Caenorhabditis elegans: one gene and its partners. The protein of the gene in region 3 interacts with the protein of the main gene of each other region in a biochemical or structural test. Each region holds a gene or a part of one and is shown on either strand. Other genes may lie near its edges.

Region 1 (7,578 bases), on a different chromosome or scaffold from region 3:
CCAAAAATTTTAAATATTTCAGCGGGAAATTCGAATTTTCAAAACAAAAAATTTGGCGCGAACTTCAAATTATTTTTAATATTTTAGCGGGAAATTCAAATTTTAGTTATTTTTCCAAAAATTCAGGCGCGAAATTAGAATTTATTGTGCGATTCTGAAATATGCTGAAACCAAAAACGAAAAAACAAAACTTCAAAATACATTAAGCAAAAAAAAATCAATGGGAAAATGTCATCATAGGTAATACAAAAAAATAATTTTTTGGGAGTTTTCCAGAAAAACGGGCGGCTTTGAACAATGAGAATTTGGAGCAAGAAATTGGTGGAAAAAATCGGCGGTAAAAATCGGAAAAATCAATAATTTATCGTTAAAATCAATAAAAATCAACGTCGACTATGCCGATCCCTGTCCCCCCGATCCCTCCGACGTTCCGAACTTCTCGACCGTTTTCGACGGCGATCCCGTTCCGAAGATCGGCTTCTCGATCGGTGATTATGTCGTGATGAAGATTGCTCTTTTTCACGACTTTTCGATCGTTTTTTGCTCTTTTTACTCGATTTTCTCTCCTTCTCATCGTCTCTCATCTCTCGTTCTCTCTTCTTTTCCGACGACGATTTTTCCGATTTTTTATTATCGCCGTTTTTTGAATCTGAAAATTTGAATATTATTTCCGGAATTTTGTGTGTAGATTGTGTAGTTCTATGTAGTCTAGAGAATGACTACAAACTACAAAATCACATCAGCCTCAATCAAGGTTCAAACTACAAACTACAGACTTTTTGAAAGGAAATTTCTAAATATTTAGCCGAAGACTACAAACTACAAAATCAGCTTAGCCTAACCCAAAATAGTAAAATCCCAATATTTTGACTACAAACTACACGTTTGCGAGTGAAAATTTCAAAAATTCACACTTTTCATTTGTATTCTTTAAAAAATGAGTAAAATATGAAGAAATCTAGGTTGAGGCTGGGAAATATGTGTAGTTTGTAGCCTCAACCAATTCAAAAATTGGTTGAGGCTCACAGACTACAAACTACAAAATTAGAAAAAAAAAATTTTTTGGATTTTTATTTGGATTTTCAGAGATTTTATTGAAAAAAGAAAAGAATTTTTGAAATTTTTTAGATAAAAAGTGAGATTTTCCCGAAAAATCTCTGCTAAAGTGAAGAAAACTTGTAGTTTGTAGTCTCCGGCCTCAACTATTTCAAAAATTGGTTGAGGCTCACAGACTACAAACTACAAAATGAGCAAAGCCTCACCAAATGTTCAGGAATGTTCAGATTTTTTTTTGGATTTAAAAAATAGATTTTTCGAGTTCTAGAAGCGGTTTTAACTGAATTTTCAAAATTTTTCAGATTTTCCGAAAATTTCTGAATTTTTAATCCAAAAAAAGTGGAATTCCAGTGGGTTTTTTGGAATAAAATATTATTTTTTTTGGCTGAAAATTGGCGCTCCGAGACTACAAACTACAAAACCATTCTGTCCCAAAAATCCAAAATCCCAAATGTCCCAAAATCCCAAAAAATTTCAGTTCAAATTTGGCGGAAAAAAGTGAAAATTGTGAAGAAAACTTGTAGTTTGTAGTCTCCAGCGCGCCTCAATTATTTCAAAAATTGGTTGAGGCTGAGACTACAAACTACAAAATAACATAGCCTCACACAAATATTGAAAAAACATTTTTTTTTTGCAGATTTTCCTGAAATTTTTGAATTTTTAATTCAAAAAAGTGGATTTCCAGTAGGTTTTTGAAGTTTTTTGGCTGAAAATTCGCGCTTTAATAGACTACAAACTACAGAAAAACACATTTTTGACGCTAAAATCGGGGAAAAAATTAGCAAAAATGGTATTTTTTTCAACAAAAAGTGAATATATTTTTATATTTTTCATTAGTTTACCTTACCTGGAACGTGTAAATCATCAACACCTTCACCATCATCATTAACTGATGGTTTGACATCATCTGTCTTAACACTAAACTTTCGAGGGATACCCACGGGAGCCTTGAACTCTCCACCACCAGCTTCTGGTGTTCCTGCTTCTGCTGCCCCTGATGCTCCATTTAGCTCCGCCGAGCCACTGCTCTCCTGCCGTGGCTCCATGTCGTCGCCAACTCCATCGTCACTGCTGTTGTCACTATCCTCACCGTCTCCTGGAAAATTTGAAAAATTTGAATTTTTTGAAATAAAATTTCAAAAAATATGACATTTTAGCTCTAAAAAACGTTTTTTTTTTTAACTGAAAACTCAACTTTTTTTTTGCAAAAAAAGGCTTTTTTTATTTGAATTTTAGTTTTACAATTTTCGAGAAATTGAAAATTCACATTTTATGGAATTTTTAATCGAAAAAATTGAAATTTTTAAACTAAAAATTCTTTTTTGGTACATTGTTCGAAAATCGTTTTTTATAACGAATATTTAATTAAAAAAGCTTCTGAAAACCGATTTTTTCCAAAAAAAAAAAATGTTTTTTTGAAAACTTTTTCTGAAAAATTTGAATTTTTAGGAAAAAGAAGAGCTTTTCAGGAACTTTTTGAACACAATTTTTATATAAAATTAAAATTTTCTGGAAATCTAAATTTTCGCTATTTTTTTTTGAAAAATTCGATTTAAAAATCAAAAATTTTACTTTTTTTTTCGGAAAATCTCAAATTTTTCAACCAGAAAATTCGATTTGTTTCAAAATTGTAACTGTTTTAAATTTAAAAAAAATATGGAAAATTCGAAAATTTTAGAAAAAAGTTTTTAAAAAATGTGAAACTTTTGAAGACAATGTTGAAAATTTTCGTTTTTCGAATTTTTTAAATCAATTTTTAAAAAACTTTTTGAAATTTTAGCTCAAAAAACTCGATAAAATCGAATTTTTTTTGTTTAAAAAAATTTCGTCGAAAAATTGGAACAATTTATGAATTTTTTATGAAAAATTATACGATTTTCATAGCTTTTTGGAAGAAAATTTCAAAAATGTTAAAGTTTTCGGTTTTTTTTAAATTAAAAACTTGGAAAAAACTTTTAAAACCGAATTTTCTGGTCAAAAAAATTGTTTTTTCCGAATTTCGAATTTTCGCGAGCTTCTCCATACCAAAAGCCGCGAGAGCCGCCAACGCTGAGCTGTTGCCGATGATTTTCGGCGCAGTTGCCAATTTTTTCCGTTCAAATTGAAGTTTTTCGTGCTCACGGAGCTCTTCTTGTATTATACGCATGATGACGTCATTCGAAGACTCGAGGAGCACGTTCATCATTAGAGTTTTCACACAGCGTATCTGGAAAAAAAATTTCGAAAATTTTTTTTTTGAAATTTTTAAGAGGTTTTTCTCCACTTAATGGACCTTTTTTAATTTTTAATTCAATTTTTTTTTTTCAAAAGTTCTGTAGTTTGTAGTCTAACAGCCTCCAAAAACGCGAGCCTCAACCAATAGATTTTTTGAAATTTTATCAAAAATTCGGTTTTTATTGCATTTTTAAAGGTTTTGACTGAAAAATTCTGAAAATCTTGGGAAGATTTTAAGGTTTGTTTTCGAAATTTTTGTAGTTTGTAGTCTAGCGGGCATCAAAATTATAAAATTTTTGAAACAAAAAAATTTTTTTTACCCGAATTTCAAAACTTTTTAGAAAATTTTTTAAAAAATCTTGAAAAAATTGAATTTTTGAAAATTTAAATTTCTGTGAGGCTGTCTTAAAAATTGTAGTTTGTAGTCTGAGCCTCGACCAATTTTTGAATTGGTTGAGACTACAAACTACAAATTGTCATATAGCCTCAACAATGTTTTTTTTGTAAATTTTATCAAAAACTGGGTTTTTTATTGGAATTTTTATGGTTTACGCTGAAAAATTGAGAAAACCTAGGGAAAATTGTTTTTTTTTTTTAAATTCATGTAGTTTGTAGTCTAGCTGGCATCAAAAACGCCAATGTCTACTAAAATGTCTAAAATTTTAAACTTTTTTGAATTAAAAATGAAAAAAAAAACGATTTTTTTGCCGAAATTCAAAAGTTGTATTGAAAAATTTATTTTTTTTTCAAAATTTAATTTTGGTGAGGCTACCCGAAAATTGTAGTTTGTAGTGTGTGAGTCTCAACCAAAATATTGGTTGAGGCTGAGAGGCTACAAACTACAAATTGTCATAGCCTCAACCAATAGATTTTTTGAAATTTTATCAAAAACTCGGTGTTTTATAGGAATTATTTTTAGGATTTAGGAGTTACACTGGAAAATTCAGAAAATCTTGGGAAAATACAATTTAAAAAAAAAAATTTCTGTAGTTTGTAGTCTAGCCGGCTAAAATTTTCAAATTTTCAACATTTTTTTGAAATAAAAGTAAAAAAAGAAACGATTTTTCCTCGAAATACAAAAATTTCATTGTAAAATTGATTTTTTTGTTCAAAATATAATTTTGGTGAGGCTACCCGAAAATTGTAGTTTGTAGTGTCTGAGCATGAGCCTGAACCAACAAAAATTGATCAAATTTCGTCGGTTTTTTCTCGATTTTTTTAGCAATTTTCTCTAAAAATTCAGAAAATCTTCGACAAATTTTTGGTTTTTTCTCAAAATTTTTTGTAGTTTGTAGTGTGTGAGCCTCAACCAAAAATATTGGTTGAGGCTGAGAGACTATAAACTACAAAGCTGGATTTTTTTTTTCAAAAAATTGGTTTTTTTTCTCAAATTTTGAAAAATTTCCTCTAAAAATTTAGAATATCTTCGTTTTTTCTCAAATTTTTTGTAGTTTTTAGGTTTTTTTTTGCGGAAATTTCAGGAATTTAGAATTTCCCGTACAAATTGCTCTCGTCTCTCCTCCAAATCGTCTTCCGAATCATTATCATCTTCCTGATATTCAGATTTTCCATTACCAACAGGAAATTTCTCATTTTCCGGGCTCTCTTCATCCGACGAAGAGTCAAATTTGCTCTTTCCAGCTTCGGCTCTTCGCCGGGCTTTTTCTTCTTCCGCTTTCTTCAGCTTTTCCTCTTTTTCCCACTGCTTTTGCTTCTCCCGTTCGGCCTTTTCAAGGCCTTCCAGGATCCAGGCCGGCAGTTTTTTCCGGGCCTCTTTGTTCATTGCATACGGGTTTGTGGGCCCTGAAGCCATTAGTGGAGCCGGTGGAGGCACACCTTTCGGGCCAGCTTGGGCCGGGGGTTCCGGGGAATTTTGGTAGTTTTCGGGCTGGAAATCGGGCTGGAAATCGGGCTGCTGAAAATCGTGCTGGACCGAGGGGCTCTCCTGGAAAAAGTGCAGCTGCGGTGGTGGACGTTGAGGTGCTCCGAAGAAGCTTGGAGCACTTGAAGCCGCCGCAAAAAGTGGCTTAGGCTTTTGGGCCGACGGGAATAGGCTTTTCGGTGGTGGTGCCGCTGGAGCCTGAGGTCTTGGAGGCCCTGGGTAGTGCTCTGGAGGTCTATGTGGGCCTGGGGGGCCTGGAAAGTGCGGCCTTGGTGGCCCTGGCGGAAAATGTTGTGGTGGGCCTTGGAAATGATGTCCAGGCGGTCCAAAGTGTCCGTGGTGAGCTGGTGGAGGAGCTCCACGCCACGTGTCTGCTCCCTGTGGCGGTGGTGGTGGATATCCACGAGGCGGGCCTTGATTATGATATACGGGGGGCCCGGACGGCCCAGAAGGCCCAGGCGGCCCTCTCCACTGCTCGTCCCGATTCGCGGACCAATCGCCCCAATCCTGATGAGCCGGAGGGCCCGGATGACGTGGCTGATGCCACGGGAGCTGATGATTTTGAGCGAAATCGTGTGAATTTCCGGCTCGACGATCGTCTGTGTCGCGCATCGCCATCCATTGTTGGGCCAGCTGGGCCCAGTCGACTGGAAAATAGACGAAAATTAATTTTTAAATAAATTTAAAAAAATTTCGCGAAAATCTCGAAAAAAATCGATTTTTTCGTGTTTTTTTGCCAAATTTTTCGATTTTAAATTCAATTTTTCAATAAAATCACAACGCCATACCACTTTCCGCCGGCTGTGCCTGATGATAGTTGGTCCAATCTTCCATTTCCCTCGTTTTGTGATTTTCTGCAGGAAATATCGATCTTATTGGTTTTTTTTGGGAGGAAAAAGGTGGAAACTAGCATTTTTTAACAAAAATTCGAAATTTTCAGCTAGATTTTCTATTTAAAAGCTTTAAAAATGCGCTGAAAATATTCTAAAATAGAATTAAATCGAAAAAATGTCGATGGCCGTTCCTTTACACGAAACCTAGTCCACGGCCACGCGGCCACCGAATTTTATTGACGGCGGCTTTCTGTGTGATTTTCAGATACTTGAACGTGTTTTTTTGTTTGTAATGTGAAGAAAATGAATCGATATATTTAATTTTTGGAGAAAAGTGATTTTAAATTCCAGAATTCCTGCCGAAATCCGACGTTTTCCAATTTCGTGTAGAAACCCATTCGAGGGAACACAGCATGCGCCTTTAATGGCTACGGTAGGTTAATTTAATTTAATTTAATTTAATTTTTAGCAGCAATTTTCAACGATAATAGTTGTTTTTTGAATAATTTAAATTTAAATTTGCTTTTTTTTCAGATGACAGAAAGAAAACAGGATTTTTCCTGTCCAAACTACATGCTTTTCGGCGATGACTTCAATTTACAAAGTGGAATAGAGGTTTTTCCCCGAAAATTTCTGCAAAATCACTTTTTTTTTCCAATTTTTCAGGATATTTCCTGTTCCTCAAACTACACATCAGACGAAGATGGACCAAAAGTGCTCACTACAATGAGAAATATGTTTGCGGAGCAGAAAACCGACGAATATGAGCTGGTCTACGACAATAATTCGCAAAATGTGCCTCAAAATTGTTCACCGAAAAATCAATATTCGCCCCCGCAATCTGTGCAACAAGCTCATTATTCGAATTTATCACATTTTCATCCTAGAAATCCAGAATTTTCACAAGAAATCGTGGAAAATCGAGTAATTTCTCCAAAATCTGAGCATCCGGAAGAAATAGAGGATCACGAAGATGATGAGGATGGCCAAAGTGAAATGGTACTGATAAAAAACCCCGATTCTAACAATTTTTGCCCTGAAAACATGAAAAATCATCAAATTTCAGCCAATAGGACGAAAATTCGTTTGGTTGAGGCTCACAGACTACAAACTACAAACCGCAATCATTTTAAATAGGATTTTATTCAATTTTCGCTTAAAAATTAATTTATACTATTAAAAAACCTAATTTTCAGTTGAAAATCGTATTAAAAAATTCGTTGAGGCTAAAAAAATTGTAGTTTGTAGTCTGTTAGCCTCACCCAAAACATTTTCGACCAAAAAAAAAACGGTTTTCCCCAATTTTTTGTATAAAAATGAGTAAAAACGGCTATTTCATGATATTTATTAACTTTTTACGATAATAACCTTCAATTTTTACGAAAAAAATTGGTTGAGGCTAGAAAAATTGTAGTTTGTAGTCTGTTAGCCTCACCCAAAACATTTTCGACCAAAAAACTGATTTTTCTGCAATTTTTTTATATGAAAATGACTAAAAACTGCAATGTATTAAGCTTATAACTCACTTTTTCAATCCTAAAACACCAAAAACTAACGCAAAACTGGTTGAGGCTAAGAAAATTGTAGTTTGTA
Region 2 (4,936 bases), on a different chromosome or scaffold from region 3:
CATGCCACCGGAGCCGGATTCTAAAGCTGTGGTGAGTTGGCGAATGCGTTCGTCGCGTTCTCGGAGTTCCATTCGGAGTTGTAGCGCTGAAAGAATGAAGACTGTGTAAGAGATTCCTAGGCCAGGTGGCCCTAACCATAAGGAAACCTACAAAAACATGGGTACCCTAGAGCCTTACAGATTTAATCGGTAAGGGGTAAAGCACAGCCAAGGCTTACTTGACGGTAGCCTAAAAAGTCCATGACCCTGGTAGCAGAGGATTTTATGTTTTTAGGATCTTAAGGGCGTTGTTCTGCTTCTAAGGTGTTGGTTTCATTCGAACCAAGATCTTGACCTTTTCAGAAACATTGAACTCCTGGGACCCTTTTGTTTTAACTTGTCATCCGCTTGGGGTTAACAAGCGTTTAAATTAACTTAATTTAATTGCAGGCTTTGAAGCTTATTTTAAAAAAAACACCTAAATTACCTTCGCTAGAACCTAGGCCGTAGTCATTACCGCCACCTCCTCCCGACTGAACCATCCTCTCCAGCTGCGCTATCCGAGTGGCTTCATCACGCCGCATTTGCCTCTCCCTCTGGAACAATTTCACATAGCTAATCATACACTACGGTAGCTCTATTACCTTTAACTCGGGACTCCAAAACGTTTTGATACTATTCATAGTCTGATTTAGCTTCTCCATCATTGTGTCGTATTCGACTTTCAGCTGCTCGTACTCTCTCGCGATGTTCAGGCCACTTCCAGTGCCGGTGGGGATTCGGGATATGCCTGGTTGCATTAGGTCGTAGTCTTGGACTGATGTGGTGGCCATGCTGAAATATTGGAAAATTGAGGAAAAAAGTCTTCCGCGTGTAATATTACACAAGTTTCTACCGATGCTCTGGCCCTGGGTGTTGCCCTTCAAACGCTATAACTTTTTAGCTATTAAACATTTAAAAAAACATAAAAATTTGTTGTAAACTGGAAACATGCTCAAAATTAAAAACTGCACAGTTTCCATGTTGACTACATTTTTGTATCTATTCTTACCTAGGAGATAAGAGGGATTGAAGACCATCGTATCATCCCAGGTAGGCAAGGCAAGTGAAAAGGCAGAGGCTGTTTCGGATCTAACTTTATTGCCTTTAACGATACGAGTTTTTGTCAACTAACAAAATGCTCAAAATTAAAAACAGCATAATTTGTTAGTGGAAAATTTTTTTGTACCTCTAACCTCCTCGACGATATAACAGTTCAAAGTAAAATTACATAATATTATTTGAATCTCCAGAGCTCCCCCACCCCACTTAAAATTCATCTGTTTTGAGCCCCCAATTTTTTTTCGGAAGAGAACGTCAGCAGCAGTCAATGTGTGCAAAAAAATATATATATATACATGCATATTATACTCCCATGAGAGATGAGGAGCAGCAAAAACCCGCAAATTCTTTAAAAATTGGAGGAAATTCAACTGAAAGAACAAAAACTAAAAAATGTTGGTTTTCGGAGGGTCCACCAGCACCACCCCCCCCCCCCCCGCAAATTAAATTAGGTTAGGGTGGGGTCTTGGAGCCGTAGATTTGTGTCGTTTGTGGTGTGTTAACTGGAGGGGGAGGAAGAAACGGTATAGGAAGAAAGGTAAAAGCCCTAATGGATGATTTAGAAGACGGCAGGGTCCTGTCCGACAAGCACTATAGAAACTGGGATCTAGTTTAGGCGGCAACCAAGTCAGGAAATTGACAACGCCACTGGCTTCTGATGGGCAACCAATACAAATTAGACAACACTAAAGGCTCTTAGGATCCTGGCATCCCTAATGACAAGCACACTGACTACTTTTTGTCTACCAGGCAGCCTTACCGACAACCCGGCGACTTTAGAAGCTGTCGACCTCCCCGAATACCCGGCACCCCTAACTAACCTATTATTATGCTGCCAGAACGCATTCTGCGTGGGAATCGGATTCGATAACGCCAGCGATTGCCCACGCTGGAACTGTGTTGGGTGGTGATGTGGTGGATGGTGATGTTGACTTGTGGATATCTCCAATGGAAGGTATGATGGCTGATGTAGAGGTTTCGGTGGAGACGGCTGGAGCATCATATCGTAGTCTAGGGAGTCTTTGTAGGCGTCCAGGACACCAAGGCCGTCCATCGAGCGGTGTTGCCTGGAATTGGATGGTTCTTAGGTAGGCCTCGAGAGTAGTTGGTCTTCGAGGGGCAGGCTGTAGGCCCGTTGGGAGACAGAAAATTTGTGCTTGGTCTTAAATTTTCCTCAGTTTATCCCTAAAAAAGCTACTCACCGTTGCAGTGGGCGCCTCGACGCGGCGGATATGGATGTATGGGGTGGGACTGATGGATAATTCATCGGGTTTCGGCCACTGGAATTCATCACCGATGTTCGGCTGCTGTATGGTGCGGGACCTGAAACGAAAAATTGGAAAATTCTTTTTGGAGCGCACTTGTTGTAGAATTTTTCAAAAAGGTTGTGCCAAATTTAACGAAACGCTTCAACTCTTTTTGCATTAGAGCGCCCTTACATTTTGCGATTGGCGGGAAATTTGAAATGTTCTTTCCAAATTTTTATCAACACACTTTTTTTTTCAAGAGATTGCACATTTTTAGCAAAAACCTCCTCGGTTAAACATTGGAGCACACTGAAATTTGGAATTTTAACAAGCTTTGCAAAAATTGGCATAACTCTGCGAGTTTTGGAGATATGAGAAAGTTATCAACTAACAAACTGTGTGAAATTTTGTGATCTACAATTAGTTAGTCATAAATTTTTTAATAGAGTTTTCAGTTTTTGAGATATTCATGCTTTTCTGGCGAAAAAAAAATCAAAAAAAATTTTTTTTGAGCGAAATTTGTTTAATTTGCAAAAATTTGCAATCTTCTAAAAACTCACCAGGTGCCATATTGTACTGCTCCGGGTAGTTTGATGGTCCGGGTACGTGTTCGTTGTAGGACCACTCGGCGTCCAAGCCGTTACCGTACCACCCGCCGCCGCCTCGATCCAGTTTTTGACTGAAATTTTGAAGTTTTTGAGAATTGAGGAGAAGAGAAAAAAGTTAGGAGAAAAATTATATTAAAACAATATGAGGAAATATTGGTTAAATTTGGAAATTTTGAAAAAAAAACAACTTTCAATTTTTATTTTTCGAAATTTATTCTCAAAATATACTCAAATTTCCCGCTAAACTTTTCACTCCTAATTTCAGAATACAAATTTTCCACTATCAATAACCCAAAAACCAAAAAAAATCGTTCAAAAAGTCCGGCCGGAAGCAGCAAATGTCTTGTGTAAGTCAATGTATGCGCGGGGTGCGCGGAGAGGAGAGAAAGAGCCAAAAAGCAAGAGAGCCGAGAGATAAAGAGACGAAGAAGAGACCTAGATGGTTTGACAAACAGGGAGAAGGAATGAGAGAGTAAGAGGAGTTAGAGAAAGGAAGGGGAGGCGGATTGCGCGCGGATAAGCATGAAGAAAACAGAGGAGAGGGGAGGGGGACTGTAGTGGCGGAGTCTTGGTTAAATTTTTGAATAATAATTTCCCCAATTAACAGAATATGTTTATTCTTAATTTGTACGGAAAAATCCAGAAAAGTTTCGGTACCGCCTCAGAAAACTGAGTATAACTTCAAAACTAAAACGGCTAACAAAAACATTTTAACTAACAAACTGTTAAGCACAAAATTTCGCACATTTTGTCTGTTGGAACCTTTTTGGTAGCTATTACCATTCTAGAGATATAGGGGTTCAAAGTTGAGGAGTGCAAAGTGTGTGGAGGAGGGGGAGACGCAGGTTGTCTCGTCGACTGCGTCTCACCCTCCACCACGCTCTCACCGCACTATGCTCTAAAATGCGTGTATCTCTGGAACGGTTAAAGATAGTAAAGTGAGAAATTTGGTTTTCTATTCGAAAAACATTTTTTTCGATTTTTTTAAATTATTATTCAGCAATCTTACATATGTTTTCTTAAATTTTCCATACTAGAAAACTTTAAAAAAAAGGCAAAACTCTTGACTCTGACGCCAAGACACAAAAATTGTAGGGAATTGAGAGAAAAGTGTCGGGGAAAAGGGATAGAAAAGACGAAAACAGTACGCTCAGTGCGTTTTTTTTGTGTTTCTTTCAATGTTCAATGATGACAAATGGAACGGAAAATTGCAAACGTTACGATTTATTGGAGGACAGGGGTTTTTTTGAAAAAAGAAAAAAAAGTATATTGGGATTTTTCAACATTCTGATCTTTTTTCTCTGTTACTCTATTTTCTAAGCTCTAACCGTTCCAGATACATATATACAGCAGAGAGACGCAGACAACGAGACTGTCTTCTCTGCCTCCTCACCCACTCTCCACACTGTAAACGCCTATTAATAAAACAAAAGCAAAAAAAAGAGAAAAAATAAAACGACTTGCGCAAAGGTCTCTCCCCCCTTCAATTTCGGTGGTCCATAGTACTACGTTTTTGGCAAAAAGATAGAGAAAAAGGGGTGGTGAGAGTCCGAAAAGAGCTTTTCTCTGCGTCTCCATTGTCTTTCTCAAACTCTCTTTTAGGGAGTGCGTCGAGTAGTTGAGCTTTTGGCATTGAACCAGAAGAGATTGGAGAGACGCAGGAAAAGTAGGAAAATCTGGGGATTGAAGAGATTTAATATTTATTGCAGAAACATTTAAGGTGAAAAGTGTATTTTTACGTTGTTTTGCTGATTAGAACTTTTTGAAAAAAAAAGTTCCATCAACAATAATCCTTTAAAAAATTTTCTAACCCAAAAATTATTCTTCTCAAAATTTTACACATTTATCTATCAGTTGACAACTTTTTAATAGCTATCACCGTTCTCGAGATACGGGGCTTGAGATGGGGACCTAGAGAGCGTGGAGGAAGGGGAGACGCAGAGTGTCTCGTCGTCTGCGTCTCCCACGCTCTCTCCCATCTACAATAGAACGCCGTGAGAT
Region 3 (4,608 bases):
CCTGAAAAAATACCATGTTCAAAATTTAATTTAATGGGTATTTTCTGCTGAGAACCTATATTTTCTTAAATCGTCTAACAAAAATTCAAAGACTCACCGGGAGGCGGTTGACTGGCATTCATGCGACTGCGTGAGGCGGTCTGAAAAATAGAACGTTAAATAAATAAATTGATTAATAGTGGCAACGTTATTGAACACTTAATGTTTTAAAACACGAAAGAGTTTTGGTGGGGGTGGTTGGCGTACCCCTTACATGCACATGAAGGCACAACGGGCGGTCCAGAGTCCGAGCAATGAATGCTTTGGGTTAGAAAGGACATTGAAAGTAGAAATAGAGGAAGATGGAGAGATAGAGAGATAGAGAGTCCTAAAACTACACACAAAAATTAATGGGTCCTTTTTCGCGTGGCTAGTCCTGCAATCTCCCAAAACTTTTTGGTTTATCAAAAAGAAAACCGGCAGATAGAAGTTCCTGAATGAAAGGAGCAATGATGTTATTCACGAATAGCGCAGAAAAAGGAAATGAATGAGAGAGAGTTGAATGGAGAGTGAGAGAACTAATAATTTCAGGAAGCAGATGGAAAAGCTGTTGTTTTGTGTCCAGGATGAATTTCGAAAACAAATACGCGGGTATACTCGAATACTCAAATGGTTTCACTTTCAGAAACGCAAATAAAACCGCTATAAGTGTGAGAGACAACAGAAAGTCGTTAAAAGTGAATGGATCTAGCAATAAAGTTATGAAATTTTATTCGACTTTAAATACATTTTTTTGAGTTTCTTCGAGAAAAAAGGGTTGTGTGAATAGTTGATAAAAGTTGATTATCTTTCACAAAAGAATGTTCAGATCTTTATTTTGATGTCTTTTTGTTAATAAAACCAAAGGCATTCGAGATACAAGCCGTCAGAGTAGAGCAATATGGGTACAAATTTAATAGGAAATCACCATTTTTATCATACTTTGAGAACAGTTTTTTTTTAATTTTATATTAGTTGTTCATAATGTTCAAGGAATTTAAATTAGAAAATATACAGGATATTATTTTATATGTATGTATATCAACTTCAAATTTTCCAGCATACTTCTAGATTATAATAGTTCACAAGACGTTTACATCAATTTATTCTGGTGTGTCTTCATAATCTAGGTTCAAAACACTTTACCCCCACTCGAACATTTTCACTTAACCCAAAAAATTCAGGGATTAGCTAATGTTCTCACGGGGGACTTGAAGTCCGAGTGTGCATTCATTCAAAAAAATAGAGCAGAAGAGGGGGACTAGAAAAAAGAAAGAAATCAGTGAGCTCCCGACGCCCTTTTGCTACTGCTACTTGCGGTGTCTAAAACTTAGTGGAATAGAAAAAAGAAATGAGGGAAGAAGTAGAAGAAGAAGAAAACGGCGATGGAATGGAGAAGGAAGAGACTGGTGATGGCGACGACGGCTTCTCCTTCTTCGTCGGAGCTTCGTCGGTGGCCTCGTCGCCATCCGTCTATCGATCTCGTTTCCTTTTAGTTTCGAGTGGGCACACACATATACACACACAAGTCGCCGTTGCTCTCTCGTCTCCGCGCAGTTCAGATAGACGGCATAGAAATTTGTGATACGCAGAGGGAGATAGAGCGGACCAAGTTGAGCCAACGGCTACTAGCTTCTTCTTCGTCCTCTTCTTTATACTTCTCCATCTCTCCTCTTGTTTCCCATAGTAGTAGCCGCTGTTGAGTCACTCTCTGGGAGACATGCTCTTTCGTTGCTCATGCACAAAACGACGTCCCCCCCCCCGTAGATTTCGAATCAAGTTCAGCTCACACCAAACGACATCGACCCTCTTCGTCTTCTTCCGCAAAGACTTCTCATTATTATATTTAAAATGTACCCACATCAAGGATTACCATAGAAGACGAATGAGAATATATATTAGAACTTGAATCACATTGAAACACTTTCTAAGACATACATATTAATTAATATATATATGTGTGGTTAATTGAAAGTTTTCAAACTTATGGCAATGATTTTCAATTCATTGTGTCCTATTATATTTAACCATTATAAAGAAACTGATTAAAACACTTTGTTTTGTTGTAATGAAAGAATTCTAGATTTAGTTCGAAATTTAAATGTGGTATTAGGATCTCCTTAAATATATACACAACATTTTGGAATTTTTTACAACTGTTCCTTTTCCAGTCTTCGTTCAGCTTTCAAGTTCAACAACTTTCATAAGACACATCAAAAACCATATTTCAGAAATTAAAACATTTTTTTACTTTACCTGTTCACCTTCATCAGGATTTTGAGTTTTCCAACAATACATGTTTGTAGAAAAATAAATATAAGTGAGAAAACAGGAAAAGAAGAAAAAACGAAGGTAGTAGTAACAAAACGCATAAAGATTTATACCGTGGCAACTGATTCTATGGATACACGAGAAGAAACATAGGAATTGGGTATTGAGAAGCTGAGGGGAAAAAGGTTTGTCGGGATGTTCGAGCCGAAAGTAGTTCTTCTTTTTCTCCTCTTTTAAGGGAAAGAGTGCACTGATGCGAGAAGATTAGACACCATCGAAATTGAATTTCTCAAGAACTACGGCAATCGAGTTTCCCCACTTTTTTTTCCGACCGCCTGCCATGCACAACAGAAATAAATAAATAAAAAGAAAAGAAACTGATGAGTGAGATACCTGATCGACTGGAGAACAACAACACAGTAATCTGCATAACCAACAGCAGCAACATTCGTTTTGTGGTTCTTCTGTGTAAAGGTAGGTTGGTGGATATGGCATTCCTGAAATGAAATATAAATTTTATTGTTCTTCCGGAAGTCTGCTTTCATTTTTATTCACACATTATTGGGGGTCAGTCAACAATAATGAGCACAACGTTATTTATTTATAAGGGTGACATATATCCAAATGAACATTGACCCTTCCTTTATTACCAAACATACCTTTTGGTGGATTGGTGCCACCGAATCCGTTGGATGTTAACATTGTCAAGAACTTTAAACTTGTGGATATGAGCATAACTCTGTACATATTTAATTTGAAGCAATAGAAGTGTCATATGTTTGAATTATAATTGAAAACATTTATTCAAAAAATAGTTTTCAATAATTTTCAGTAAGAGCCAATCAGACGAAGTGTGCGACGAAGTTAGAAGTTTGGTCTGAAGGTGGGCGTGGCATCTCATTTTAAAGAAAATTCAAAAAGACAATTTTTGCCGAATTAAAAAAAACAAGTTTTCAAAAGTTTAACTTTTCATTCTTTCTGAATTTGTTCGTTTTTGATGATATTTCGGAGTTTGGACAATTTCTAGTGTTTAAAAAATCCTCCATTTATACTACCCCACATTTGAAACGGAATTCATCCACCTTTAAAAGGTAATTTAACGGTTATTGAAAAGGAAAACAATGCCATTTATTTTTCAATTACAGTTTTTAATAGCCAAACCTCTATTTCTACAATGGAGAGGATATGAAACAGCGTTTAAAACAGAATGAAACAAAAAAAACAAGAGAATAAGAATCTCAATCTAGAATATGTTGTTATAGTGACACAAAAGAGACAGATGACATCTCATAAAACATTTCAAATGCAAAATGGACTCAAATGAAACATGAGAAATTATAAGGTTGATGACACGTTTCAGAGTATTTAACGAAAAGTCAATAAAAGGAGGGACCTTCTTCTCCTCTTCGTTGTTTAGTGAAAAACCGAATCGAAAATGGCGTATACTATGAATAATAGCAGGAAATTTGGAGCAATGGAAATTGGCGAGACTGACTGGATATGCGGGCAATGGAGAGAAAACAAAAGAAATGAAAAAGGAACTGAATATATGGGATGAGAACGAGACTACATAATTCTCTCATGTCCGTTCAATGATCGATTTGAATCGGAAAATCGTTTAATTGGAGTTTGAACGAAATCGAATGAGCCCTCAGCTTTTCAACTAAAATCGAAGAAAAGATGGGAAGAATCTGAAAAGCCAAGTGATGGATGTTTCGGGCGCATCTAGAAAAATGAGTTTTCGTAAAATCGGAGAATGAAGTCTTTTTTTTTGAATGAGATATTTGTGTACTTTTGAAATTGAAGATCTTAAATTTACGAGTTTTTCTTTCCAATAGCCTTTTTAGCCCTTTTAGCTCTGTATTACTAGCTACTTTTTTAATCACTTACTTGAAGGTATCGCCGGTTGGGAAGTTGTTTAAAACCTTCATATATTTCTAACATGACCAAATGCCATAGTACTACTTTTCGGAAAAACATTTATTTCAATTACTTGTATTTGCATATATACATAGTAGAACCAGGTACAACCACGCGAAAACGCTGAAAATTTTTCAAAGAGCCACAGCTTTAAGTCAATTTGGCATTTAACCAAGATTTAAACATTTTCAAAATCTAAATACTTTCATAAAATTTATAATGATTTTGAGTGATTTTAAATTTTTTCATCAGTTTATTTGCATCAAATTCCCACCACCGCTACCCCACAGTTAAAATGTCAAAATGAATTTGGTCAACTTTACAGAAAAAAAAGTTTGCATTAATTTTTTTGTTCATTAACAAAAAATTTCAGATTTACATAATTATCTTTTGGTAGTT

What was found. Proteins that work in one complex are often made in the same cells at the same time.
Region 1: of the proteins of syd-1 (region 3) and rsy-1, one has a biochemical effect on the other in vitro, tested with the Caenorhabditis elegans proteins (one study listed by BioGRID).
Region 2: of the proteins of syd-1 (region 3) and elks-1, one has a biochemical effect on the other in vitro, tested with the Caenorhabditis elegans proteins (one study listed by BioGRID).

What each region holds. Positions count from the first base shown.
Region 1 is NC_003279.8:11,215,990-11,223,567, forward strand, and holds rsy-1 (Arginine/serine-rich protein PNISR), read right to left. Parts: upstream 6,007-7,578; 5' UTR 5,987-6,006; coding exon 5,941-5,986; intron 5,800-5,940; coding exon 4,772-5,799; intron 3,263-4,771; coding exon 3,082-3,262; intron 2,153-3,081; coding exon 1,904-2,152; intron 650-1,903; coding exon 384-649; 3' UTR 188-383; downstream 1-187. Other genes in the region: Y53H1A.2 (C2H2-type domain-containing protein), read left to right, coding at 6,410-6,418, 6,520-6,600, 6,652-6,984.
Region 2 is NC_003282.8:3,347,022-3,351,957, forward strand, and holds the start of elks-1 (ELKS/RAB6-interacting/CAST family member 2), read right to left. Parts: upstream 3,007-4,936; 5' UTR 2,898-3,006; coding exon 2,888-2,897; intron 2,404-2,887; coding exon 2,283-2,403; intron 2,148-2,282; coding exon 1,902-2,147; intron 814-1,901; coding exon 624-813; intron 576-623; coding exon 467-575; intron 87-466; coding exon 1-86.
Region 3 is NC_003280.10:7,591,885-7,596,492, forward strand, and holds the start of syd-1 (Rho GTPase-activating protein syd-1), read right to left. Parts: upstream 3,029-4,608; 5' UTR 3,025-3,028; coding exon 2,949-3,024; intron 2,787-2,948; coding exon 2,683-2,786; intron 1,704-2,682; exon of another isoform or gene 1,425-1,703; intron 357-1,424; exon of another isoform or gene 211-356; intron 141-210; coding exon 98-140; intron 2-97; coding exon 1-1.